Drosophila melanogaster: one gene and its partner. The protein of the gene in region 1 interacts with the protein of each later gene in a pairwise test. Each region holds a gene or a part of one and is shown on either strand. Other genes may lie near its edges. The genes, in order: CG5687 and CG15818.

What was found.
Region 2: the proteins of CG5687 (region 1) and CG15818 interact in a two-hybrid assay, tested with the Drosophila melanogaster proteins (one large-scale study listed by BioGRID).

Annotation. Positions count from the first base shown.
Region 1 is NT_037436.4:1,929,722-1,942,011, reverse strand, and holds CG5687 (uncharacterized protein), read left to right. Parts: upstream 1-2,908; 5' UTR 2,909-3,418; coding exon of another isoform or gene 3,419-3,514; 5' UTR 3,515-3,571; intron 3,572-5,630; 5' UTR 5,631-5,731; coding exon 5,732-6,400; intron 6,401-6,462; coding exon 6,463-6,624; intron 6,625-6,682; coding exon 6,683-6,798; intron 6,799-6,852; coding exon 6,853-7,212; intron 7,213-7,278; coding exon 7,279-7,740; intron 7,741-7,797; coding exon 7,798-8,080; 3' UTR 8,081-8,379; downstream 8,380-12,290. Other genes in the region: Mfap1 (Microfibril-associated protein 1), read right to left, coding at 1-696, 758-836; CG46523 (uncharacterized protein), read left to right, coding at 3,419-3,514; Dbx, read right to left, coding at 8,564-9,358.
Region 2 is NT_033779.5:7,408,696-7,420,985, reverse strand, and holds CG15818 (uncharacterized protein), read right to left. Parts: upstream 10,078-12,290; 5' UTR 10,032-10,077; coding exon 9,180-10,031; 3' UTR 8,757-9,179; downstream 1-8,756. Other genes in the region: chm (chameau), read right to left, coding at 3,508-3,613, 6,322-6,694, 6,755-6,912, 6,979-7,604, 7,678-8,479; CG5181 (uncharacterized protein), read left to right, coding at 11,282-11,413, 11,477-11,959.

The DNA of each region.
Region 1 (12,290 bases):
TCTGCTTCTGAGCCTCTCGCTCCTTCTCCTGGATGGTGGCACGATCTCTCTTTCGGACGAAGAGCGGCTTCAGGCGGGGTTCGTTGTCCTCCTCGCTTTCGGTCTCCTCCTCGTACTCGGAGCTTTCTGATTCGGACGATTCCGACTGTTTCTCATCCTCTTTCTGTAGAACCTCCTCCTCGCGCTGCTGCTGCAGCATGCGGGATCTCAGCTTGGTGCGCCGGTTCTCCAGCTCTGTGTCGCTGAGCTCCGCATCCGTGTCGGATTCGGATGCCAGTGTGATCTTATTGGTGCCCCGCTGAATCGCTCCCTGTGCTCCCTCGTCTTCCTCCTCGTCTTCGCTGTCACTCTCCATGATTTCCGGTTCGTGGATGTGTCGGTGGCGTTCCCTCCGCTCACGTTCCATGTCCTCCATGTCTACGGGTCGCTGCCGCAATCTTCGGAGGCGTGGATCGTCCACCTCGGCATCGTCCTCCTCCTGGCCCTCACCCGCCGCCCGCTCTTCGCCCTCCGCGCTGCCGCCTTGACGGGAGAGCTCCAGCTTATGCCGTTCCGCCTTGTGGCGCTCAAGGCGCTTCCTGGTGTCAATGAAGTCATCGTCGTCGCTCTCCTCCGAACTGGAGTCCGCACGGGCGTAGTCGGGTCGCTTACCGGATATGTATCGCTGCACCTTCACCTTTTGCATGGACAATTCACCTATTGAAGAGATATGCAGCTTATAAACAATTTCTGGTGAGGATCGAGCTTCGCTGTTTACCTTTCTCATTGCGCATGGGAATGGCGCCCGCTGTGCTCTGGATCCCAGAAGCGGCGGCGGCGGCGGTGGCTGCACTCATCGTGGTTTTAACTTATAATCCACGGGTAATAAGCAAATCTTTGTATTTATTCCTTGTAAATATTTCCTAAATAAAAGTATGGTAAATTAGAGATGGACAAAAGTATCTGAAAATAATCGATACTTTGCTTACAAATATTATCGATGCCTATGCAGCTCAGCAAAACCAGAGTGGCAACGCTATCGAACAAGGCCCGCAATTTGAAATATTAAGAAAGTTTTACTACATATATATGGTGAATATTGAATTGCAATGACGGAAGTGCGATGACTTCGCAAAGCCAGAATTAAGGCCAGCAACTAATTGAGACATTCGATAATTGAAAATATTAATACACAGAAAGAAATGGAGCAATTTATTGTTAGACAACTATATATTGGAAAAAACTATTGAAAGTAAGAAATTCATTTTCATTTAAGCTTTTTTGGATTGCAAAAAATTTAAACATATATATTGGGTTCCTTGGTGAAAAGGAAAATGTTCTTTTCTGTGCTGTTTTTATAAACAAGTGTTTTAGCAATGTCAACGCCCACTCTCATTAGTAAATTAATTGACTACTACGCTTTCTCCAATTCCCATACGATGGATAGAGGGAGGACGGAGGAGGGGTGCTTGATCTTGTGTAATGCCGGAATCGAATCCAAAATTCTTTTTATTGGTATTGCGTATTTTCAGTTTCGACAGCACGCAGCCAGCACGTGTGAAGATTGTCTTGTAATGTTTGAAAAACCGTTCGGATCTGATGTGATGTGATTTGATACCCACCCAACCGGACCAAAGTCCGAAAGAACCACTTGGCGGACGAGGGGCTCGACCAGTTTTGTGACGTCTTCGGCCACTTGCATCCGAGGAACAGAGTTAGCTGGATTTGCTTTGGATATGGATGGGGATGGGGATTTGGAATGGAATGGAATTGGAATGGCATGGGATGGGATCGTTTCGGGCCTAAACACCGAGACGCATTTGCCGAACTGCTTTTAACTGCTTTTCGTCGGCTGAGGTAGTTGAATGGCCAAGATTTACATGAGACTGTTAGTTAACGACATGGCGGGCATATTTAATTAATGCAACACGCTTCATGCTTAAGTGCATATCTGCCTAGCTAACTCACTGACCTTTAGAAAAATGGGCGTCGATTTGGTGACTTTCCGCTTGGGGGGAAGTACCTGCTGAATATTTGGAGACCCCCTTTCTTTTTGCCACTACATACTAGATATGTACATACATTTTACATTTATCAATTTATTGCGATTTGAACTCTTTTTGAACTGACCGGCGCCGTTTCAGTTCAAATTTAAATTCAAACTGGGAATACATTTCAATTAGAATTAAACACCCACACTGGCGCACAGGAATTGTAAACAAATAATTTTCTATTAGCGGGAGAAAGAGTGTCATTCCTGATCAAAATCGTACCAGATCGAACTCGTTATCGTTATCCAAGTAAAACACCACATAGCCAGCAATTGAGGCGAGGCGACAAGTGTACAAAAAACGAAAGATATAATCGTTTCCATTATTAATTGGCGCACTTTTTGCCTTTGTGACTCGAGTTACTTAAAAAGTAATAAAGGGTGAGACAAATGGAAATATTTACACATCACGCAATCCCAAACTGGCCAAGAACCAGCAATTAAACTTTTATGTTTGTTTACAGCGCATTTCACTTGGCTCAACTTGCCACAATTAACAATCGCCATCGAGGGATATGCAAAGGAGTTGGAAAATACCGGATATTTTCCGGCCATTCGTGGAGCGTCTTCTGCAGAATTGAAAATGAATCTTCGCATATGAATCAGAGCGTTTCAATTCCCTGAAATTAATTGATAGCAATTTAGGAAACGGTTTGGCAAACATTTATACACGATTTTCAATTAAACGTTTCCTCAAGCTTATTTTACTTATACCCATCATATTTTTATATACATTTACTTAATACCTACATACCTACCTGATTATAAGTTTCCTATCATTTTCTCAATCTACTAACCTTTTAATTTAAAGTTATATAATATTACATTAATAAACATTTAATATTTAATATCTGTTTCATTTATAGTATGAACCATAATGTCTTTGGTTTTATTTTTTAAAATAGGCTTAGTGCCCAGAGTCTGTTGAAAATAAGTTGCCTATATCTTAGCACTCCACACGACCATTGGCTGGCGATCGAGTTTCCCTCTCCGTGGAGATCGGCGATATCATATCCGGCGACGCTTCGCCTGCTCTTAGATCGATTTTCTCTCTTCTTCGCTTTTCAGACCCCAAAGAGATCTCGATGTGGTGGGGTTCCCGAAGCTGAAGCTGGGAGCCCGAGATCTGAGATCCGAGGCCTGAGATCCGAGATCTGTGATTTGCCTGCGCCGCCTTGGGTGTTGTATAAAATAGCGTAACGGCCGCTTGCAAAACTCATTCATTTAAAAATTGTCAATACGTTCGAACAGCGATCGACGACGAGCTGGGAAAAAAGGGAAACAACTAGTGCTCGAAGTGAAAAAAAAACTACGGCAAGGACTCGGCTCGAGGAACCAAATCCAAACAGTGATCAGTTTCATTTTGTGACTAACTAAGAAAACACGTTAATGAAATACAGAAACAATCGTGGCACAATATTGCAAATCCAGTTCAGAACATTTCTAAGATACAGTGCAGCAAACCTAATTCCATTTGAGAGCTAAACGAAGACGACAACCGAAGGATATCGAATTTGACGAATTGAAAAATTACTAACCAAGGTGAGAAGTTGTTCAGTTTTTCAGTGAAAGCGGCAATGCATGCCAGTGAGTTATTTCGAAATTTATCATACCGATTGTCACTGATAATTGGTAGTTGCAAAATATCTCAGAACATCAGAATAGTAAAAAGCATTAGCCCAAAGGAAATTTATTCCAATTACTCATGACTAACTAAAACTAGAGTAAAAAGTTGCGAGGGCAAAAACAATTTGTAAAATGCATTTGTCGAACAAGCTAATAAAGCTGAAAGTATTTATACCCATTCCGAAGGCATTTTAATATTTTGTCGCTTGTGTTACTTCACTCTGTTTTTTAGCTGGCTAATCTCGCCAGTTTTGAACTAGGTAATGTTTGCAGCTGTCGTGGCCGTGGAAAATCTCCTTGCTTGCGATTGGTATCTTCTGCCAACTTGTCAAGCGGACTATTTTGTTTAAATTAATTATAATAGAATAGAAGCGAGTTCGCCCAGACGAGATAAAAAAAAAGCCGAGGAAAGCAAAACAAAACACGCATATTAATTGGGCTCGAAGACGATGATGATGCCATTTAATGGAAGCGAAGGGCCTTTGGAATGGGCTGGGCGAAAGTCCACCAATTAAGCCAGACGCCTGTCCTCAACCAGAGCCCACAATTCATTTGACCCGTGTGTTCCTCCACCAAGGAAAACGGGTTTCACCCCAAACACAAATAGCCAACAAACAAATGAGCAATAAATATGATTTCGTAGTTTAGATTACTCAAATCAGAAGTTTGTAAACTTGAATAAAATATTCTACGATGAGCTAGAAACTAGAAGGAGCCTAGACCATTCCTTACTGGTATTTTCTCTCTGTGCATCTGGACATCTCTCTTGTGGTCGGGCCTTTTGCTCTTAGTTTCCGGCCTTGCCTTCGGAGACTTGGAAGCTGCTCTTCGAAGATTCGCCGAGCGATGGCGAATTTCTGGCCCAAACCGGCGCAATCCGGCTCAGTCCAATGGCCACCGATCTAAACCAGTTGAATTCGCTTAAATCTCGATTGGCGCGCTCGCACTCCCCATTTTCGCTCAAACATTGTAGCCCAATCTATTCGCCATTCAGGCCATATGGTGCATACATGTCCATGTCGCACAGGAGCAGCTTTTCTCAAATGGTTTGATTGGCCGGAAAAGTGGGCGGGGGCAGTAGAGGCGCCAGGAGGAGTGAGGAGGCGCCATGGCTTCTGGTCTCATCAAGAATAATTGTCGAGTGTTGGGGATCAATTGAATGGGGGAAGTGATTGCCATCGTTGATCAGTTGCAGAATGTGTGTTTTATGATTTAACAATTAAGAGGAGACGGAGGAGGCATGTGTAATAAATTTAAGTTACTCAAAAGATAAGGCTTGTGTAATGAATTCAAATACTTGACAATTAAAACGACAAGTAATTGCATAAATCAGCAAGGAAATTGAAATATATTAAAAAAGTTTGTTACACATCGAGTAGCATTATGCAATGAAATACATCCTAGAATTGGCGTGAAATAAAATCAAATATCTTAACAAATTCCTTACCACTTGCAAGCCGTGCGATTTCTTTTGGCCAGAAATAACCAGTTTGAATAAATCAACGACCAGTTTGAGGCAGCTTTCTGCTGGGCCTTCTTGCTCATCGCCCGTCCACTTGTAACCCCAAAAGAGCCATAACTCTGGATCTGGGAATCCGAAATCCACAATCCGAAAAAGAAATATCACCCAAAAAAAAAAAAAAAGAAGAGCGTTGCCTTGACTGCCGCCCCATGAAGAAAACATATTAATCATAAAGCAATTACGCTCAAATGGAATTGTTTGTATAAGGAAATAATGTATTTGTACTTGAACATGAGACGCTGGCCAATGGTCGATGGCCTCCCCTCCTCCGGATCCAGAGCCGCAGATCCAGATCGTTTGGTTAATTAATTAATGGGCCCCAAGATGACACCAAGTGTGACACCCACGGTGCGATGGTGCTTTGTAATGCCGCCTCGTTGCAATTCCTCTTTGCGAACCTTGATCTTGCCAGTGATCCAAGTCTAAATCGCTTCCGATCCGATCTCGTTTCAGTTTGCGCACACGTCGCCGGGTGGAAAGTCGGCTGGAGAAAGTGATCTCCCGGAAATCGCCATCCTTCGATCCCCATCCTTAGTCCTTGCTCGTGATCCAGGATGTTCGCCACCCAGGACACCATTCTGAAGTTGCTGACCCTGTGCGCCCTGGCACATTCTATAACCGCATTGGCCCTGCAGGAACGGTCTCCGACTCCAGGAGGATCTGCTCCCTTGGATTCCAGCCACAAGTACTTGATAGTGCGCGGTGAGTCGCCCAGTGAATCCCAGGAGCATGTGGAGTTCGATAATGCCGCCACCCTGCTCCTGAGAGCCTTCAAGAATCAACAGATTCCCGCATCCGCGGAGCTGGAGGAATGCAGTGCGCCCAGTCACAAGGCCACCTTCTCGGGCTACGACTACGTGATTCTGCTGGGCATGCTGGTCATCTCGCTGGGCATCGGCATCTTCTATGGCTTCTTCCAGAAGGGCGGCAGCTCGTCCAACGAGTTCCTGCTGGGCTCCGAGATGAGCATCTTCCCGGTGACACTCAGTCTCACGACCAGCTTCATCACGGCCATCGAACTGCTGGGAAATCCATCCGAGATGTACTTCCAGGGCACCCAGTTTGTGCTCATCGTAATACCCATGGTGATTGTCATTCCGGTTGCTGTGAAGATCTTCTATCCCATTTACTTTAAAATGGAGCTCACCAGCTGCTATGAGTATCTGGGCATTCGGTTTGGCAAGGAGATCAGGATTCTGGGTGCAGTGCTCTATGTCATTCAGGTGGGTTCTGGGATTTAACTCGAAAATGAATGAGATTTATATATAGACTCCTTCTCCTTCAGATGTGCTTCTACACGGCTGTGGCAGTCCTGGCACCGGCAATTGCTCTGTCTAAGGCCACGGGACTGGACACCAAAATCGCCGTGGTCCTGATCTATGTGGTCTGCGTTTTCTACTCCTCACAGGGAGGCATGAAGGCTGTAGTCATTGCCGACTCCTTCCAGGTGAGTAACGAGATGGTGGAACTCATCAATACGAGAAGATATATCTAAATCCTTTTAGGCTGCTGTCCTGGCTGTATCCTTGGTACTGATCGTGGGCTTGGGCTGCTTCTACAGTGGCAATCCCATCCAGGTCTTTCAGACTGCTTCCGATCACAATCGCTTGGAGTTCTTCAAGTGAGTTAAGCCAAATGAATCCAAGGACCTTAACAATTCTGGTTAATTCTGCAGCATGGATCCCGATCCCACAACACGTCACACCGTCTGGTCGGTGGTCATTGGTGGCTTTTTCTACTGGACCTCGCTGTTCTGCACCAACCAGGCGTCCGTTCAGAAATGCATGTCCTTGAAGTCCTTGAGGCTAGCCAAGATTGCTCTGGGCTTTGCCATTATCGGCTTAATTGTGGTCTTCCTGCTGAACTTCTACACGGGTCTGATGGTCTTCACCCACTATGCGGACTGCGATCCCTTGACTGCTGGACGCATTTCAGCCACGGATCAGTTGTTGCCCTACTACGTGATTAATACCTACGAGCATATTAGCTCCGTGGCGGGAATCTTTGTGGCTGGCATCTTTGCTGCCAGTTTGGGGTGAGCTCTTAAACTCCAGAACAGCTTATGGAAGTCTTATTCAAAGTTTTTCCTTCTCAAAAACAGCACCGTGGCCTCTGCCTTGAACTCCCTGTCCGCTGTGACCTGCGAAGATCTGCTGGTCAATGGCATGAACATCAAAATCTCTCCGGAGAAGGGAGCCACCTATGCCAAGTGGATGTCCCTGGGCTTTGGCATTGCCTCCTTCGGCTTGGTCTTCATCGTGGAGCACCTGGGAGGAGTTCTGCAGGCCACGCTTACCCTCAATGGACTGATTGGTGGTGTCACCCTCGGTCTCTTCGTGCTGGGAATCGCCTGCAAACAGGCCAATACCAAGGGCGCCTTCTACGGAGGACTCTTGTCCCTGGCCCTGGTCATATTTGTGGGCGTGGTTGCCCAAATTGTGAGCGTGGAGCAGCCCGCATTGCCCACATCCATCGACAAATGCGACTGCCATGTGAACATGACGAACATCATTGGCAGCTTGCTAACAGAACCTTTGGAAGTCATTGAGGAGGGGGGATTCACGTAAGATAACATCTTAGGTACTAGATATATATATTTTACTTAACCCAGAAATTACAGATCTTGGCCCATTTTCCGGCTGAGCTACATGTGGTACAGCATGATCGGCTGCCTACTCACCGTTTTCCTGGGCTGGTTCATTTCGCTGATCATTGACTTTATCCAGCGACGCAATGTGCTGAAGATCACCGGCAAGGACATCGACAATCCCGCCGTGTCGGAGGAGATCTTCAAGAGCGACTCCCAGGTGCAGTACACCACCACGACGGTGATTGGCGATCCGCGAGAGCTCACAAGTGACGAGGGCCATGTGAACCATGCCATTCGCATTGACGACGAATAGAACTCGAAGCCAAAACTCGAACTCTGGCGGGGATCGACGCTCCCCACCGGCCAATTCCTTGTGTAACCTCCATGTAACCTCCATGTACAAAGACCAGTCGCAATCTGTTAACTGTCCTAGTTTAGTCGAAAGAGTGATTTCTAGTTCTTAAGTCCCAGCCGAGGTTGTTGGCTCAGTATTCTGTACACACACTTACTAATGTTACTACGAAATGATTTTATGTTTAGTTCGTTTTAAGACACCTAATAAAACCTATATATACATATATATTCCTAATCAGCGTTGATTGCTGAAATGTCAAGTGATCTTTGCATTAGTATTGGCATTATGATTTTCAAAGGAGTTTATTTCGTTTTGGAATTTAAATTCGAAAAAATATCATACACATATTAAATACAATAAGTTGAATGCATCAATAAATTTACAATTAAAACATATATGTACACGGACCGTTGCAGCTCCATCTTCGCCTCCAGTCGCAAATCACGTCACGCTGATCTCCTCGTCACTGTCCGAGTTGGAGTCGTCGTAGTCATCGTAGTAGAGTTTCATGAACTCGGAGCCACCTTGGTGCTGCTGCTGCGCATGCTGCTGCTGTGCGTGCTGCTGCTGTTGCTGTTGCTGCTGCTGCTGGTGATGATGATGCAGTTGCGCAGCCGCGGCTGCGGCGGCCAGCTCTACCTCCCGCATGGCACTGAAGTGTGGGGAGTGATGCAGCTGCTGCTGCAGTTGCTCGAACCGGCGCTGCTTGGCCTCTTGGATACTGTTCTCCAGCTTGAATTTCAGATCGGCGGCCACCAGCTGCTTCTGCATCTCGGCATTGATCTTGGCCTGAAACTCGGAGGCAGTTACACCGGGCGGCGAGGCGGCGGCGGATGACACCGTTGTGCCCGGCAGCGGAGTGGGCGTGGCCGACGCCGATTGATCGCCCATTTTGAGGCTAGTGAGGAGCGGAGGCGGCGAGCTAATCTGGAGGCCATAGCCCACGGAGGGGGAGCTCCGGCTGCTGACGGATTGCGGTGACTTGGGCGTGACAGCTGCCGTTGGCGGTTCATCCTTGGCCACCGCTCCCGGCGGTGGGGGCGTGGCACTCCCATTGGGCGAGAGCAGGGATGGCGAGAGTGGCGTCAGCGGACGATCGCATTTGGCATCGCTCAAATCAGGATTTGGGTTATTCTTGTTGGGCAGCGTTTGGTCGCGGGAACCGCCGCTGGCGAGGAGCTCCCGCTCCTTGGAGTTCCGCCACTTCATGCGCCGGTTTTGAAACCAAATTTTCACCTGCAAATGAAGGGCATAAATGGGTTTGAGAAAAACACGCTGGAGTTGCATTGAAATGGGTAAATTGCGACTGTCCGGTGGATGGAAAGCTGTCTGGAGCAGCAGAGCTGGGATGACTATAGATCTGGAACTTTTCATGGCCGTCGAGTCGTATGAGTGGTGTGGGTATCGAATTCCGCTTTTGGGAAAACAAACTTCTGTCGGCTATCCGACGAAAACTTTTCTGTGGCAAATTGAATCTCGCAGAGAACCCATAGATATCTGTCCGTCACCACCCCATTGGGGCGGGTCGTGTGTGGGGGCGTGGCCATGGACCGGCCAGAAGTTTGAACTGCACTGCCATCGCCAGACGACGGGCATATCCATAATAAATGCAAATAAGAGACATTTACCCAAAGCGGCTACAAATTGATTAGAGGCCGCACAGTGGTGCAAAATCAGTTGGTTTCAGTCAACAATCCGTTCTTCTCTTAAATATATTTAAACTATCTTGATGAGAAATAAATAATTTTATGCATACTTTTATATCACATCATATACATCACCCTTTTGAAATCCCAATACTTGAAGTGCCCTAACATAATCTACATTTGATATTTATTTATTTATGTATACTCCATCCACAGTGCAGGCTGCAAAGTTGGTCCAGCAAAAATGCTGTAAGTCCTGGTAACTCACTTCCTGCTATCCTTCGGTGGAGGGCTTAGCTTCCTGCATTTGACAGGCTAGCTGGGACACTTGAAGCAGATTGCAGGACTCGCCGGGCAGAGTCCTTGGCCCACCGCTCCTCCATGAGCTGTATTTGAGTTATTGTGCAGTCCGGCCCCCCCCCCCCCCACTCCGTCACCCGCCTCCTTGTGAGTCTGCGACACAGCAGGACATTCGCACTTTGTAGCCAGGCACAACAATTTGCAACAATTTATGGGAGACCCACTCCACGGCGGTAATTAGATTGTGACTTGATGTGAATTTTAAAGCAAATTGATGCGTAAAATGGGTGGGAGCCCCCTCAATTAGACTAAAGCTCTGGCATTTATAAATAAATAAGTAAACAACGGCCATGAAAAGCCGCTGACATGTTGAACAACCGATTAACCGCAGAGATTCCTTGGAAACACCCAACTCCCAGTGGCACGTGCCTGATTTTGGGCGCTCTGTTGGCTTCTCGGTTTGCTGTTTCGCTTACTTCCGGTCATCGAGTTTTTCAACGTCTGTGCGGTGGAAAGCCAGATTTTCCCATTTTCCACCACCCCGGCAGCAATTGAAATAATAAGCTCAGGCGGCGATAAGATTAATGATTATGGCTCCGGCCGAAAGTCAGTAGTTTAATGAGGGAGGAATAGAACTTTGGGACCACCCTGGACCACCGTCATCATCTTGTCATCGTCTGTTTCTGATGGAAATTAATTATAAAGCGTGCAGTTTAGTGTGCCAAGGAGAGGCGTCTGGACATTTCCGCTCCTTGTTCAGTTGTTGTTCCTCGATGAGCTGGTAGCGCTCCAGGTTTGCATTGCAGAAAATCCCTGATAAAGAATCCGTTTCGGATATTATAGAATTATCAACTGCACTCGATAGACCCCCAAATGAGCCGCGTTTAGTTTTGCGATGTTAGTCCGGCTTGTTAACAAATATTGGCCATGTAACGAGTTCCCCTCCCCCCCCCCTTACCACATCCACTAACTTTAAGCCCGCAATTACTGTCTAACACAAAAATATTCGCTTCATTTTTCGCCGCTCATATAATAATTAAATTTATGCAAATATCTGTGCCAGGCGACAAATACTAAAATTCAATTGTTGTGAATAGCAATTAGCGGATTCGCATAGATTCGCTGGTTTGTTGTATGTAGTATATTGTATTAAATTGTTTTGGAATAAGATAGGATATTATTGTCATGTCATCATTTTAATAGCTGGTTGATTTAGCGTGTTAGCAGTATAAATTTAAAACAATTTTGTGAATCAGAAGTTGAATGGAATGTTGCAAATTAGAATGCAGTTAAAATTATATATGTTGTATTATTTGTGTTCTCAAAATCCTGGAGACTCCGGATTCATACTCCCTGGAGTAACTTCTGGACTTCATCCCAAATAAAGTTCTTAAGCACCCATCTCATTTCGAAGTCCTGCTAAACGTTTTGCCACTTTGTTAAGACCCGACCTCTCAATACAATTCTCTCCCCAAGGAAGTTGGGCCCATTCCATTGACAGTAAGCCAAAACGATAAGTAACATATTTTTCTGACACGCTGCCAGCATAACGCGCATGGAATTCGTTTGAAGTTTTTATAAACCACCCAAAGGAGTCGGGCGGTAAGAGGGCTACAAATTGCTCCCTTCCGCCGAACTTTCCTACCTCCCCTCGCTACACTTCTTTTTTTTTTTTTGTGCCGAAAATTGACTTTGGGCAATGAGCACAAGCTGTTGTTTTTGTGGGGGAGTCTCGAGTCCCGTATCCCGAATCCCGAATCCTGACTTCGGCAACATATGTTAACTAATGAGGCTGGATGACGGGGATGGTCCATATACATATATATATATATAGAATATATATTCCAGCCAGGAGCAGGCTGTCAACCCATTTGGCCACCGAGGATGTCATTCGATATGCTGCGTAATAGCGTATTAAATAGTCTGCTACTATTTGCGAAAGTCATTCCGGCGGCAGTTGGCAGTGCGTTTTGGGTTACTGACCACGGTCCATTTCCATTGCCCATTTCCTCCCCTTTTTGTGGTTATTGTTTCAGGAGGAGCTGGCCAAGTGCTTGCCAAATACTTTGGCCTGTGGACCACGACCGTTTATTTAGCAATTTGTCAACAATTTATTTTGTAACCAAAGCTGCGAATGATGGTTTTTAATGTTCGACGAGGGTTGCAAATTGGCGAATTGAAATGAAATGCGAGTTATGAGCGCTTAAGTGTTCTTTAATTCG
Region 2 (12,290 bases), on another chromosome or scaffold:
CCACTGAGGCAGGCTCGGGAAAAAAACAGTTAGCAGAAGAAGAGGAGGCAAATAGGAGCAGAGCGAGATAGGAGAGCATTACCATGGGCGTAGTAAGATACGATAGTTGTCGATACGCCCAAAAGCAGGCGGAAGATGGAAAATAAAAAAAGAAATTTTTTGCATCCTTTATGCTTAATGCAGTGAATGCGATTTTTATTTCCTAGAGCTTAATATTTTTGGAAGTATTCCCCTTGCTGCACCCATGGCGCCAGCTGTGAAGCAACGGGAGAGAAAAATGGGAGAGCAGGACTCACTCAATGGCAGACACAGCTGAGAAGGCAGACGGGAAGGATGGAAAAAGCATGGGGCAGGAGGAAGAATCCTGCTGACTGACTGGACTAGCGCAGGGTTGAACACACACAGGCAAAAATAAACGCAGCGCTTCGCTTTTTGCATGACCAAGAACATTGGAACCTAGGTATCAAAACCAGTTTAAACTCAATTTATAACTACAATTTTTAAACGGAAGGGCCTGTTTAAAGACCCGCAATGCATGTAATTTTAATATACTACTTAGTATAGCGCAAAAAAGATTGGATAAGTATTACATGATCGTTTAGTAAGTAATCTTTTGATCTCGGCCCACTGTGCGCAGTATTTTATGCAGTTCGAGAGGAAGCCCCCTCGGCCAGCTTCTGATGCGACTTTTGGCCAGAAGAGGGCGTTTTCGGGTGGCACTTTGATTTCTTTGTGCCGCACTTCGTCTCGCTTCTTGCCCCTTCCCAATACACCGCAGCGTTATAAATCCTGGCGCAGCGAGACGGGGAAGCGGTGTTGGTGCGAGCGAAAGGGGGAGTATGGGTGAGTACGTCGAGACGACTTTATCGATCCATTCTGATTCGCAGAGTCGAGCTCTCGCTCTTGCTCGCACTTGCACACTCGCCGCTGACGCAGCAACATTGTTGTTGCATAGCCACAGGCGCTGCGAACGAACAGTAATGAGTTAAAGAATGAAAATTTACGCAAATGTGCAATAGGGGACGGCGACTTCAACTTTAACTCAAATTAGCAAGGCTCTAATTATTATTATTTCTATGCGTTTTTCTTGTTTTTTATGCAGCTACCAGAGTTTGAAAAGCAGTGAGTAATAAGCAGCGAGAGAATGAAACAAAGAGAGAGTAACCGTTACTCGCTCTTTGTGCTCGCAAAGAGGACGACGCCCTTTCATTGTGACCTGTCCTGACCTTTGTTGTCTGCCGCCAACAGTTGTTGTTTTTGTTGCTCTTCTGGTGTTGTTGTGTCTGCTAAATTTTATCCACAGTCAAGCTTCTATAAACAGACAAGCAATATCTATCAGGATTGAATTATTTCTAGAACATATTCATATCCAAATATGTTATTTTTATACTTATACGCTATAAGGTTTTTTTTTTAGATCTAAGCACTGTTTTAAGCTGCCACCGATAAATATTTAAGATTAATTCTTCAAGAACGATATTTTTCATTACCTTTATAAAATTTTATTGTCGAAGTTTACTTTATAGAATTCGCACTGTAAGTGCTTTTTGTGGGTATGTTGCTTGTGCGGGACTTGCAAAAGATAAAAGCAAACTTTAAGCGGCACGTTTCGTATATTTTTGGCAACTTGGGTAAATTTTGTTTGTGGGTTTTTAGAAAGTTTCGTTAATTAATGCAGTAGGTGGCAACCCTTGTTCGGAACCTGTAAACTTGGCCCCCTCATTTGCATTTTGCGTGGTGCATTTTGTACACCTGGACATACATAAATGGTGTATGGCCGTACCGCTCTAACACATATGTCTAGATCTGTTCGATTTTCGGGGGACCGGTGGGTTAAGTTAACCCCTGTCTGTCTGCAAGTATTCCTTCCACCTGCCATGTGCAAAATAACCAATTCCAGTTAATGATGACGAAAATGATTTGCACGCCGCCCCGCGCGGCTCCTACATACAACAAAATAATTTTCAATTGGGAAACGGTAATTTATAAAAAATATATTTAATTATGAAAGTAAAAAATATTAAGATAGTAATTTAAGATAGTTAACGGATCAATAGAGATTTTAATGTGAAACCTTCACCACTTGATAATAAGCCGAGATTACCACATAACCTCATGAAATATCATATTCTTACCAAAGACCTAAGCAATAAAACAATCGATTCGAACTCTAAAACAAAGCTCTTATTAAAAAGTAGAATTATACCAGATTTTCCTGGGATAGATTAGATCAATCAATTATTTTCCGTGCACCTCACTCGCTCTCTTCGCAAAACTTCCTCTCCCTCTCCCTCTCCCTCTCACGATCCCTCTCTCTCTCTGGTTGACCATTACTCTTTTTGCCGGCCGGCACTTGGCTTTGTGTCTGTGGGCCTTCGCGTGTGTCTGTGTAAGGTCAATGTCGTTTCGCTCGCTCTTTCGTTCGTTCATTACCGCCCAATCCCCCTGGCCAATACACCAAGCTTCCACGCCCCTGGCATTGCATGTATTGACTTTACATAGGCACAAATGCCGCCGCCTCTGCCGCCGTCGCTGTCGACGTCGATTGTGAATGTAAATGTATGACTCAAGACTCTCTTTGTCTTTTCCCCCCACCTTCCGCTCTTTTATAGCTGGGTAATTCTTTTTTCATAATTTTTTACTTAGCTACCTTTTTTTGGGTTGTGTGTGTTTTTATTGTCTAGTCTGTGGGCTTGGATTAATTTTAAACAATTTTCGTTGCAGCCGCTAAAATTACTTATGCGATATGCAGTGCACCTGTGTGTGTCTACGTTTAATTGATGCAGAAATTGCATGTTCTGCACCTGGAGAAGAAGAAGAAGTGGATGCAATGGTGGGGGAAAACTGCAATTGGAAAGCTGAGCCATAGTCTCCTTCATGTTTGGCTTTTCTCATGCAATGATGATTATATTTCACACACACCTGCACACCACACACACACACTTATGACTCAGCGAAAGAGGTCGGAGAAGGGGAACAAAGAAAGATTCAATTTGGACAGCAAATTTTAGTGGCCAATATACTTTTTCACTAACAAGCCTCATTTAAGCCCAATTTCAGTGGAATCCCAACCACTCAATCCAACGTAATTGATATCATATGATTTTCAGGGTCACTGTGTTCTTCCAGTTAAAGAATTGCGCAGAAGAGACCACAGAAGAATTCGCAGTTTGAGGTCAATTATACATTTAATCGGCTGACAAGAAAGAAACAATTATATTCGTTCCTTGTTCTTTCATATTACTATAACTAGCACCCTGAACAATATTAAATATTTCAGATAAAAAGTATTGCATTTTGAGCATTCATGGGAGAAACTTATACTTTGTTAATTGGTTTCATATTAAATCAAATATGAATTATTCAATATAGCAAGATAAAGGTCGTTGGAATCATAGTAAGACGAGTTCGATGCATTTGATTGCAGAATGGTTGTAAACTGAGGAAGAAAATCCCCATTTATTAACAATTCTTAAGTTTTGTGTAGAATCTCAAGTGTTAACTTACTGAAATCGATGAGTAATCTTCCGTAACCCTTTCGCTGATATGGCGGCAATGTTAAAATACAGGAAACATTGTAAAACGAGTTCTTCTCCTGCAGGAAAGGAATATGCTGCAAATATAGAAAAGTGTGTGAAATGATTAGAAAATAAGAAATAAAAACGAATCAGGCATGAGCAGGCGGTAATTTAAGGTTTTCACTAATCCACTTAAAAGTAAGCAAAGGTTAGCGAACATATTATTAAAATTAAATCAATTACAAAGGTTCAAGAACAATGGCAGACGTGAAAGGAGTGGGGAAACTGAAGCTTGGAGTTGGGAAAAATCCACGAAGAGAGGTATGGCGAAAAACTTCAGAGTTGGGGGATCAGACAGACATTTTCCAGACAAAAGATGAGGGGAAATGGGGTGGGGGGTGGTCCCTTGCAAGTGGCAGAGATGATGGCAACATTTATCTGTCGCTTTTGGCTTTTTTCGGCAGTTCAATGACCAGCAAAATTAAATGAATCGATAGACAGCCAGCACCAGAGACAGTCAGACAGAGATGGCTGCAGCGGCGTGAAAGAGATGGCCAAATTGGCGAGAGAACTGTGCGTAAATACATAAACATACGCACATACATACATATATAGCTGCCGCAGGAGCACAAGGACCACGAGTCTGGGGATCGGGATATATATACGCAAGACAGAATGACTCGTACATGGATATAGCCATGCCCAGCCCCCTTGTCTCACGGTCATTGCCAAAAAAACAATCCCAACACAGTGGAAAATCATTGAGATAATACCACATGTAACAATAATTTTAATAGAAAGTTTAGTCCTCATTAGAAAAATAGTTTTCAAATAATAAATGATATACGGGTAAATTATCCAAGACTTTCTTAAATTAAAGAATATCATTAGAGCAGCTAAAACTCCATTAAGTGGCCACATTTTAAGTCCTGTGTGCTGAATCTGGAATATGGCAACAATTCGGAAATTCATTTATGTACACTGCGGGTTTTTCATTTTGATTTTTCCTTTGTAGTACGCCTGCTTTTTGTTTTCTGAGGTCTGCTTTTTTTTTTTTTGCTCGTTTTTCCTTTGTCTGCCCCGATGTCTGGGAACGCAACCACATAGCAGAGGAGTCCCTGTTTCCCAATCTGATCCCCCGCCCCGCCAACACCCCGAGATCCTTCACCCCGGATTTTCCTGGCCCAGCCCGGGCAATCGCAGTTTTGTGGAGCAGGCGCAGACGCAGTATCAGAATCAGAAATTCCCGGACCCGGCCCAGAGGTGCACGACCTCAATCGTGTCCCCAGCATCCGAGCATCGGAGCAGCGTGCCCAGCCTGCCAATCCGTCTCCCTACTCCAATCCTCGGTGTCTGGCTGCTGTCTGGACCCCGTTTTGGAGTCAGAGAGTTGGAGGTTAACTGCGGGACAAAGGATTGCCGAAAATTATCACTGCCAAACGAAAAGGGGGTTGGGTTTTCACTCAAGTTTATACGCAGCCTAGTTTGCAGATGCAATGTCATGATATAGGAATATAGCTTTGATCCTAATTTACTACCATAGTTATACTAAGTTACTCTTGGAAGCGATTTCGAAATATAAAATAATACATTTTAAATGATTCAAGCGATATAATTCTTAACTTCCTTAGATATGCTTAAAAATGTTTCAATATCTCCGTTGAAATACATTCTTTAAACATTTTCATGGGCGTACATTTCGTGTCCTGGTAGTAAAGAAATTATGAATGTCCTAGCACGAGCGTAGTAAATATATGTAAACTTGTAGTATGTGTAGAAACTGCCAAATTCTGACTGCCTCGGGATGCTGCGCCAGCACAGCGAGGGTTCACAAAAGGAGCTGCAAAGAGGGGCATCATCGGGAGCAGGGGCAGTGAATCGGGAGGAGAGCAAGAGGAGCAGCTGCAGCATCAGCCAACGACATGCGCAATTTGTAACACAAACCCAGTCTCTGCCAGCGCCCAAAAACTTTCTGCATTCTGCAGTAAAACTGCAAACCGAAGGTGGGATCCCGCCAAAGCCCGTGAATGTATCGCCGGACCCGTATTTTCCGTACATTCTGGTGGGAGGTCAAGAAACCGTGGCTGCTTTTTAAAGCCAGGGGAAATGACTCTCTCGTTCGCGCCGCTTGTTTCTCTCTGTCTGTTGCTTATTTACCCGAAAACGTTGACAAAAAAATTAAATGGAAAAATCATCTGCTGTTTTTGGTGGGCATGGTCAAGGCAGAGCTCACTGTCTGCATCTGGATACAACCATATAGTCTGCTTGACGGTACATATGTATGCACCGTACATGGGCTGTGGCTGCCATTCTGGGAGTCTGGGATACCGGCTTCTACATTCCTCGCATCTCTATTCCGTCTCCAGACATAAAGGAATCATAAAACTGTAAAATGTTATTATTCAATTTTATGCTGGGGAATAACCATAAAGGTTCTGGAAAATTCTGGCGCACAATTGCAGCGCGACTATTCAAATAATAAGCAATTAGGAATCGAAATCATTAGAGCAGGATCAGATTTTCCGCTTTGGTTTCCAATTGCTTAGGAATAAAGGGAAGCATTAATTTTTGTAGTTAAGCCCTCTATTAAGCTCCTTATTAAATATTCATTTTGATACTTTAACTGCTTCAATATGTAACTCAACTTAAAATTATATTTAACTTAAAATTTATAATTCAATGAGCTGGAAAATCAAAGTGGATTTGTTATTTCAACTGCTTGATGTTTGATTAGCATATTAGCATATTCAGTTTTTAACAATTACCAAAGAAAATATACATTACGAATAAATACTTTACTTACCTTGCTAAAATAACCAACAATATGACATCCATCCACATCGGCCAGCGTCATAATGTAGAAAAGGAAGGGCTCCACATCGTAGTAGAGGGTTTTGTGATCCAGAAAGAATTTTGCTAGCAGGCACAGATGCTGACAGTATTGCTTATAACGTTTCCCGTCCACCTGCCACACCTGTAGTTTGCCCTTGCGGTATATCTCATCGCCCGGCGGATGCCGCCAGACGCATTTCTCGGCATGCCGCTTGATGCCCGTCTCTGATTTTTGGTAGCGCAGGCAGAATTCGCAGATATACATTTTGGGCAGGCGGGCAGCATCGTCCGGATAAGGGGATTGATACCAGACCTTCATCTTGTACTTGCCCATGCTGATATATCTGTCAGACGTAAGGGTTGTAAATTGATCTCCATAAGTTTGTTATATTACTACTACTTACTTTATTCCCTTTCCCACGGGCAGGTCCTTGAGTTCGTCTTCGATCCTTTCGGATGCTTGAGCTTGCGCTTCCCGGAACAATTGCAAATCATAGTCAGGCACCAGGCCTGCCAGATTTGGTTCCCGGTCCTCGTCCGTTACGTCTTTTTCCAGCTTTACCTGAAGCGTAATCAAATAGTTAGCAATAGTCTCATATGGACTTTCAAGCTAACCCACTATCCTCACCTTCGAGTCTAAAAAATTGTTATTCGCCGGCTTAAAGTTAGCCCTTGACTCGCGAATCTTGGCCAGAAACTCGCGCTGCTCAGGCGAGAGCGTCTTGAGATTGGTGTTTTGGTTACCCGGCGCCGTCACAATGTTAACCGGCATCTTTAGTCGCTGTTCATTCCTCAGTTTTCTCTCATTGGCACGCTCTTTGCACTCCGAGGCGGACATGTTGTGATAGATAGGACAGGCCTCCGGCAAAAAGTGCTTATCCAAATTGCCACTCAGATGTCCGGATGAATCGCAGCCCTCGATGGGACACTTCTTCTCAGTCTGGGTAATCGGTGACACGGGTCGGGATTTAATGGAGCTCAGCACGCCACTGCTGATTCCGATTGGTTCCCTTTTCACTTTGCTTTTGCTGGCGTTCAAATTCGAGGGCGCTGGCTTTTTGGCGGGACTTTTGGAGATCATAATTTTGTCATCTTCTAGGTCTCCATCGGATTCAGAATCGGTTTCCTGTTTGGGTTGCTGTTTTGTCCTTCGCATGCTGAGTGATCGCGTCAGTTTCCTCATGGGATTGGCCTTGTCTTTTCGCTCTTCTTCGCTGTCGGAGTTTTGGATTTTTGTTGGTCCGCTTCTCTTACCTATAATAATAAGAGTTAAATTTAAATATTATTAAAATCCTTACATAAATTCTATACTTTATACCCTGCCTACCTTTAGCTCCTCCTTTTACTGGCTGCGAGCTGTAGGAGTTGCTGGAATCACTTCCCTCAGACTCGCTTCCTGAACTTGATTCGTCGCCCGAGTTGGAGCCACTCTCGGAGCCCGAACTTCCGTCACTGCTGATCACCGGTCCCCCGCCGTTTTTCTTTGCCGGCGGCAATTTTCCTCGGATTTGTTTGGGCCTCACCGTGCTGGCCATTTTGAGGGGAACCTTCCGCCCGTTTTTAACGATCTTCATAGAGTCATCTGTGCTATTGGACGAGGAGGAGAGCGAGGGTCGCTTGCCCTCGCCGTTCTCCAGTGATCGATTTGTGTTGTTGTTGGCCGATCGCTGGGTAGGATTGCTCGGTTTGTTAGCGGGATTGCTTGGCTTGTTGACGGACGCGGGTGGTTTTCTCCTGGCTGCTGAGGCGGCAGCTGCCGCTGTTACAGTGGAACTGCCCATTGCACGTGAGTTCTTTTTGGCCGGCGGCGCCGAGTCCTCATATTCGTCGTCATCGCTGGAGAGTTTACTTTTGGGAGGATTGTTTACTTTTTTGCTAGATGGCGCTACGCTCGGCTTGGGTTTATCCTCCGACGCCGCAGGAACAGGCTTTCTTCTCTGTGCATTTCCGGAATTAGTTTGTTGTTGTGTTTGCGTCTGGGATTTGGCGGAGGAATTCGTGGATGGCTTCTCCTCCGGCGTCGCACTGCTGGAATCCGTGTCCGAGCTGCTGCCCGTTTCCGAACTGGTGGATCCGCTTGTGGATGAGCTGCCCGACTCCGAGCTGCTGCTGCCGGACTCCAAGGCCATTTTTGTAGCGCAGAATGTTTTTTTTAATATTTGTACACAAAAATGCCTGTTTTCCTGTATTGTTTTGATTAGAGTGGCCAGAGGTGGATGCCAAGCGGAACGCCATGGGAATCGGCCGGAGCTATCGGCTTATAATATGCTAGAGATGTGCAACTAGGGCACAAAAATATCGTATTCCAAAAATATTTTAGTTAGCAAATATTAATTGAAATACGAACCTACACAGTTTATTGCCTTGTTTAATAGGAGTTTTTAAAATTGATATAAGCCAGTTTTTGTGATTAAAGTCGAAAATTTCTTTATTCATTTGTTGCTTATAAAGAGTGCTTGTCGAGTACGATAAATTTAATAATCTTAACGAGGAATCAATCTTAATTTACGACGTGCGGGGAACCAAAACCAGAAAAACAAATAAAATAAATTCGATAACAGCAATCTCTTAAGCCTATTACTCATTTCAGCCAATTTATTTACGGCGCCATGTCGACTTTTTTGACAATTTGAAACGAAATAATTTCCTATCTGTGGCAATCACTTGTTGTCAAAAAAAATTGCCCTTAAACCCTCTCACAAAGAAAAATTATTGCTAAAAGCGTTATTAAATGTTCCCATCAATTTTTGCATCAAATGCAGTAAAGTGAATTATAGTATTTGTGGTTTTGTTGTAATATTCATTCATACATGTGTTGATACTTTAAAACTAAACATCACTGTCTGATTGGCAAATGAAATGCATAACGTCAGTGGTACAGGACAGAACGATCATAATGTTTTCGTGCCCAAAAACGTAGGCGCAGTGCTGGGTAGGATTATTGTATTTGGGTTCATTTTTGCGCCACTTGAAGTAGGTAGCTCGTTTGCCGGAGGCCAAGGATATAAACTCGCCCTGCTTGGCCAGATCGTTGACACCCAGCCAGTAGTTCGCCTTGTTCAATTGGCCCACTATGGCGTTGTATTCCTCGGCATTTTGGAATGCTGCGAGGTGGCCGCCCATTTCAATGCACCTCTGCTCGGCGGTCCTCCAGTTCACCTGTAAGTTGTGTTCGATGTAGAAATATCTCGATCCTATCTGTTGATATCTCTGCAGCACGAGTTTCCTTTCGATATCGGATAGAGTCTTCTGGATGGCTGTCAACTGGTTTTCCGTCCTCTTCTGTCCATCTTTCAACTGATTACTCAGCGCTGTCTGATTGCCTTCGATATCCTTTAGTTTTTGCTCAAGGTCCTCGGTTTTGATTGCCTTCGAAATGTTGTTCACAAGGAATGCTTGCTGGGCTTCTATTTGGATTTGTGTCGCCGTCAACTGGTCTTCGATCTTATCCAGTTTCGCGACGCTTCCATTAAGTTTCACCTCGCAGGCTCCCCAGTCCTGTTGCTCCTTCGAAAGGTGATCGATGACCGGCTGCAGTGCGGATACGCAATATTCACTGCACTGATTGGGAGGATCTGATAATAGACACACATAGCGCCTGCCCTCCTGGGCTTCTATCAGGGATCCGTAAGGATACAGCAATAGAAATGCGCACAAAATAATTCTCGTAGAGCTAAACATTTTGGACAACCACTGAGGTTGAAGCTTGATAAAGAACTGATACTGAAGTAATTGGCTCTCTTTTTAAAGGCCCGGCAATATGGTTGATAAGCATATTTGATCTTCTTATTAAAATTGTCACAAGAAATTTGATGTGGTATCATAAGTTATCATTATTTGTAAAGCGTTGTCAATATGGTATGGTAGTAAAGTAGATATGTACTTCAACTTAATGACATACTTCATTTCTGAAATCAGCGCTAAAGTCGATATCCTCCACTATTAGATCACTCAGCTAGCGGGAGTGCGTATATATAAAGAATTTAACAAATTAAATAATAAAATCAAAATATATTGGGCGTGTCCATCTTCTGAAACAAACTTGCGTTGCGTTTATAGGATCTGCACGCTCGATCTTATCTTTATAGCTTTTATGGTAACCAAAATCACAAACGGAAATGGCCAGATCAACTAATGATCCGAAATGAGAATTCCATTTACCTGTTGCATATTCATCAACGAATGAGGTATACTTTTTTTCTCTACGAGTAACGGCTGTAATGTTAGATAATCATCACTTGATTAATTAATGTCAACTTGTTTGCTCTTCCAGGAATTTCTTTTTTGTGCCCACTTTCACCGGTTTATTGAACTTAACTGCTCTGGAGGTTTCCAATTAAATTATCTGGTTAATTGTAGATTTTATCTACGCCCCTATGTTGAAATAATCGAAAGCTAGCACAGTCAGAAGAATGATATATGTAGAAATTTAAAATGATTCACATCTGCCGGAAATGATAAAGCTTTTTTATCTAGGGTGGTTCCCTAATTTAGTGACCACAATTAAATTTGTTGCTTGTGTGTTAGTTTTTGAATTACTTATAGGGTTTCTAATCACGAACTAACAAAATTGATAAAGTAATGTTTGCTTGTAAATATAAAGTTATCCTTCCGTTGAAATAGAATCTATTCAACATTCGCTGTACTTATTATGAGATGATTGATCAAGAAAAAAAATTAATATTTTTAATTTACTAAACGATAAATAAAATAAATGTATATATAACAATTCAAATTAGATGGTAAGAAATAAAATTTAAAAAAAAATTGGATGAAACAACTGGAATAATCAGTTCCAAAGCAAACTAAAGTATTTTTGGTTGTCTTAGGTGAGGTCACACTAAAGCCGTTTCAACGTCTGGCAACGCTGCACTACGCCAAAACAAAACAAATCATTTTTGTACTTTTTAAAAACTCTTGCTCATTCTGCAATGTATAACGTGGAATGCATTCCTATTAAGGACATAAAGCCGGGTCTGAAGAACATCAATGTTATCTTTATTGTCCTGGAAGTGGGCGTGGCCACCGTTACAAAAGAAAACCGCGAAGTGAGGAACTTCAAGGTGGGTCCATCGTTGCATTATTCACATAAAAACAAATAATATAGTGAAAACAATGTTTATAAGGTGGGCGATCCTACGGCCTGCATCAATGTTTCGATTTGGGACGAGCCGGGCAAACTGATAGCACCCGGTGATATTGTCAGACTGACAAAGGGCTACGCCTCCATCTGGAGGCATTGTCTGACCCTTTATTCCGGAAAGAACGGCGAGGTGTTCAAGATCGGCGAGTACTGCATGGTCTTCAACGAGAGCGTCAATATGAGTGAACCGAAACGGGCGGAGCAGCAGGCGGTGGCAAATCCTGCTGCTACTCCGGCGGGACTTCCGGCCGGTGGTGGTGCTCCTGGCTTGCCCGCTAAGGGTGGTGCCACGGGCATTCCACAGCCCGCGGTGGCTGCTGCACCAGGTGCTCCCGCCACCCAGAGCGCCGTGACCACAGCTCCTGCTGCGGCGCCAGCAATCGCACCCCAAACGACAACGAAACCTGGCACCCGTGGCGGCCGTGGAGGTGGAGGACGAGGTGGCCTTAAGGGGGAACGGCGTTAAATGGTCTACAGACGCGGGATAGCACTTAGCGATCAAGAATTAAACCTCTACAGTAATGCATAGCTTAATAAGACATGTTTACACATCCCAAATGATCGGACCTGGATTTGGTATGTTATCTAGACTATTTGGGCTTTAAAATTTACGTAATAGGTCTGCATTTATGAGTATCAGTTAACCATTCAATTATATATGTATTTTAAAACTTAATTGCATCTTTTAAAAGCAAAAAGTGAGCATGTTTTCGTCGAACTATTTAAGCATTAAAAAAGATATTGAATATAGTACTATTTTTCAAAATAAGGAAATCAGATTACTAAAAACGAAATTT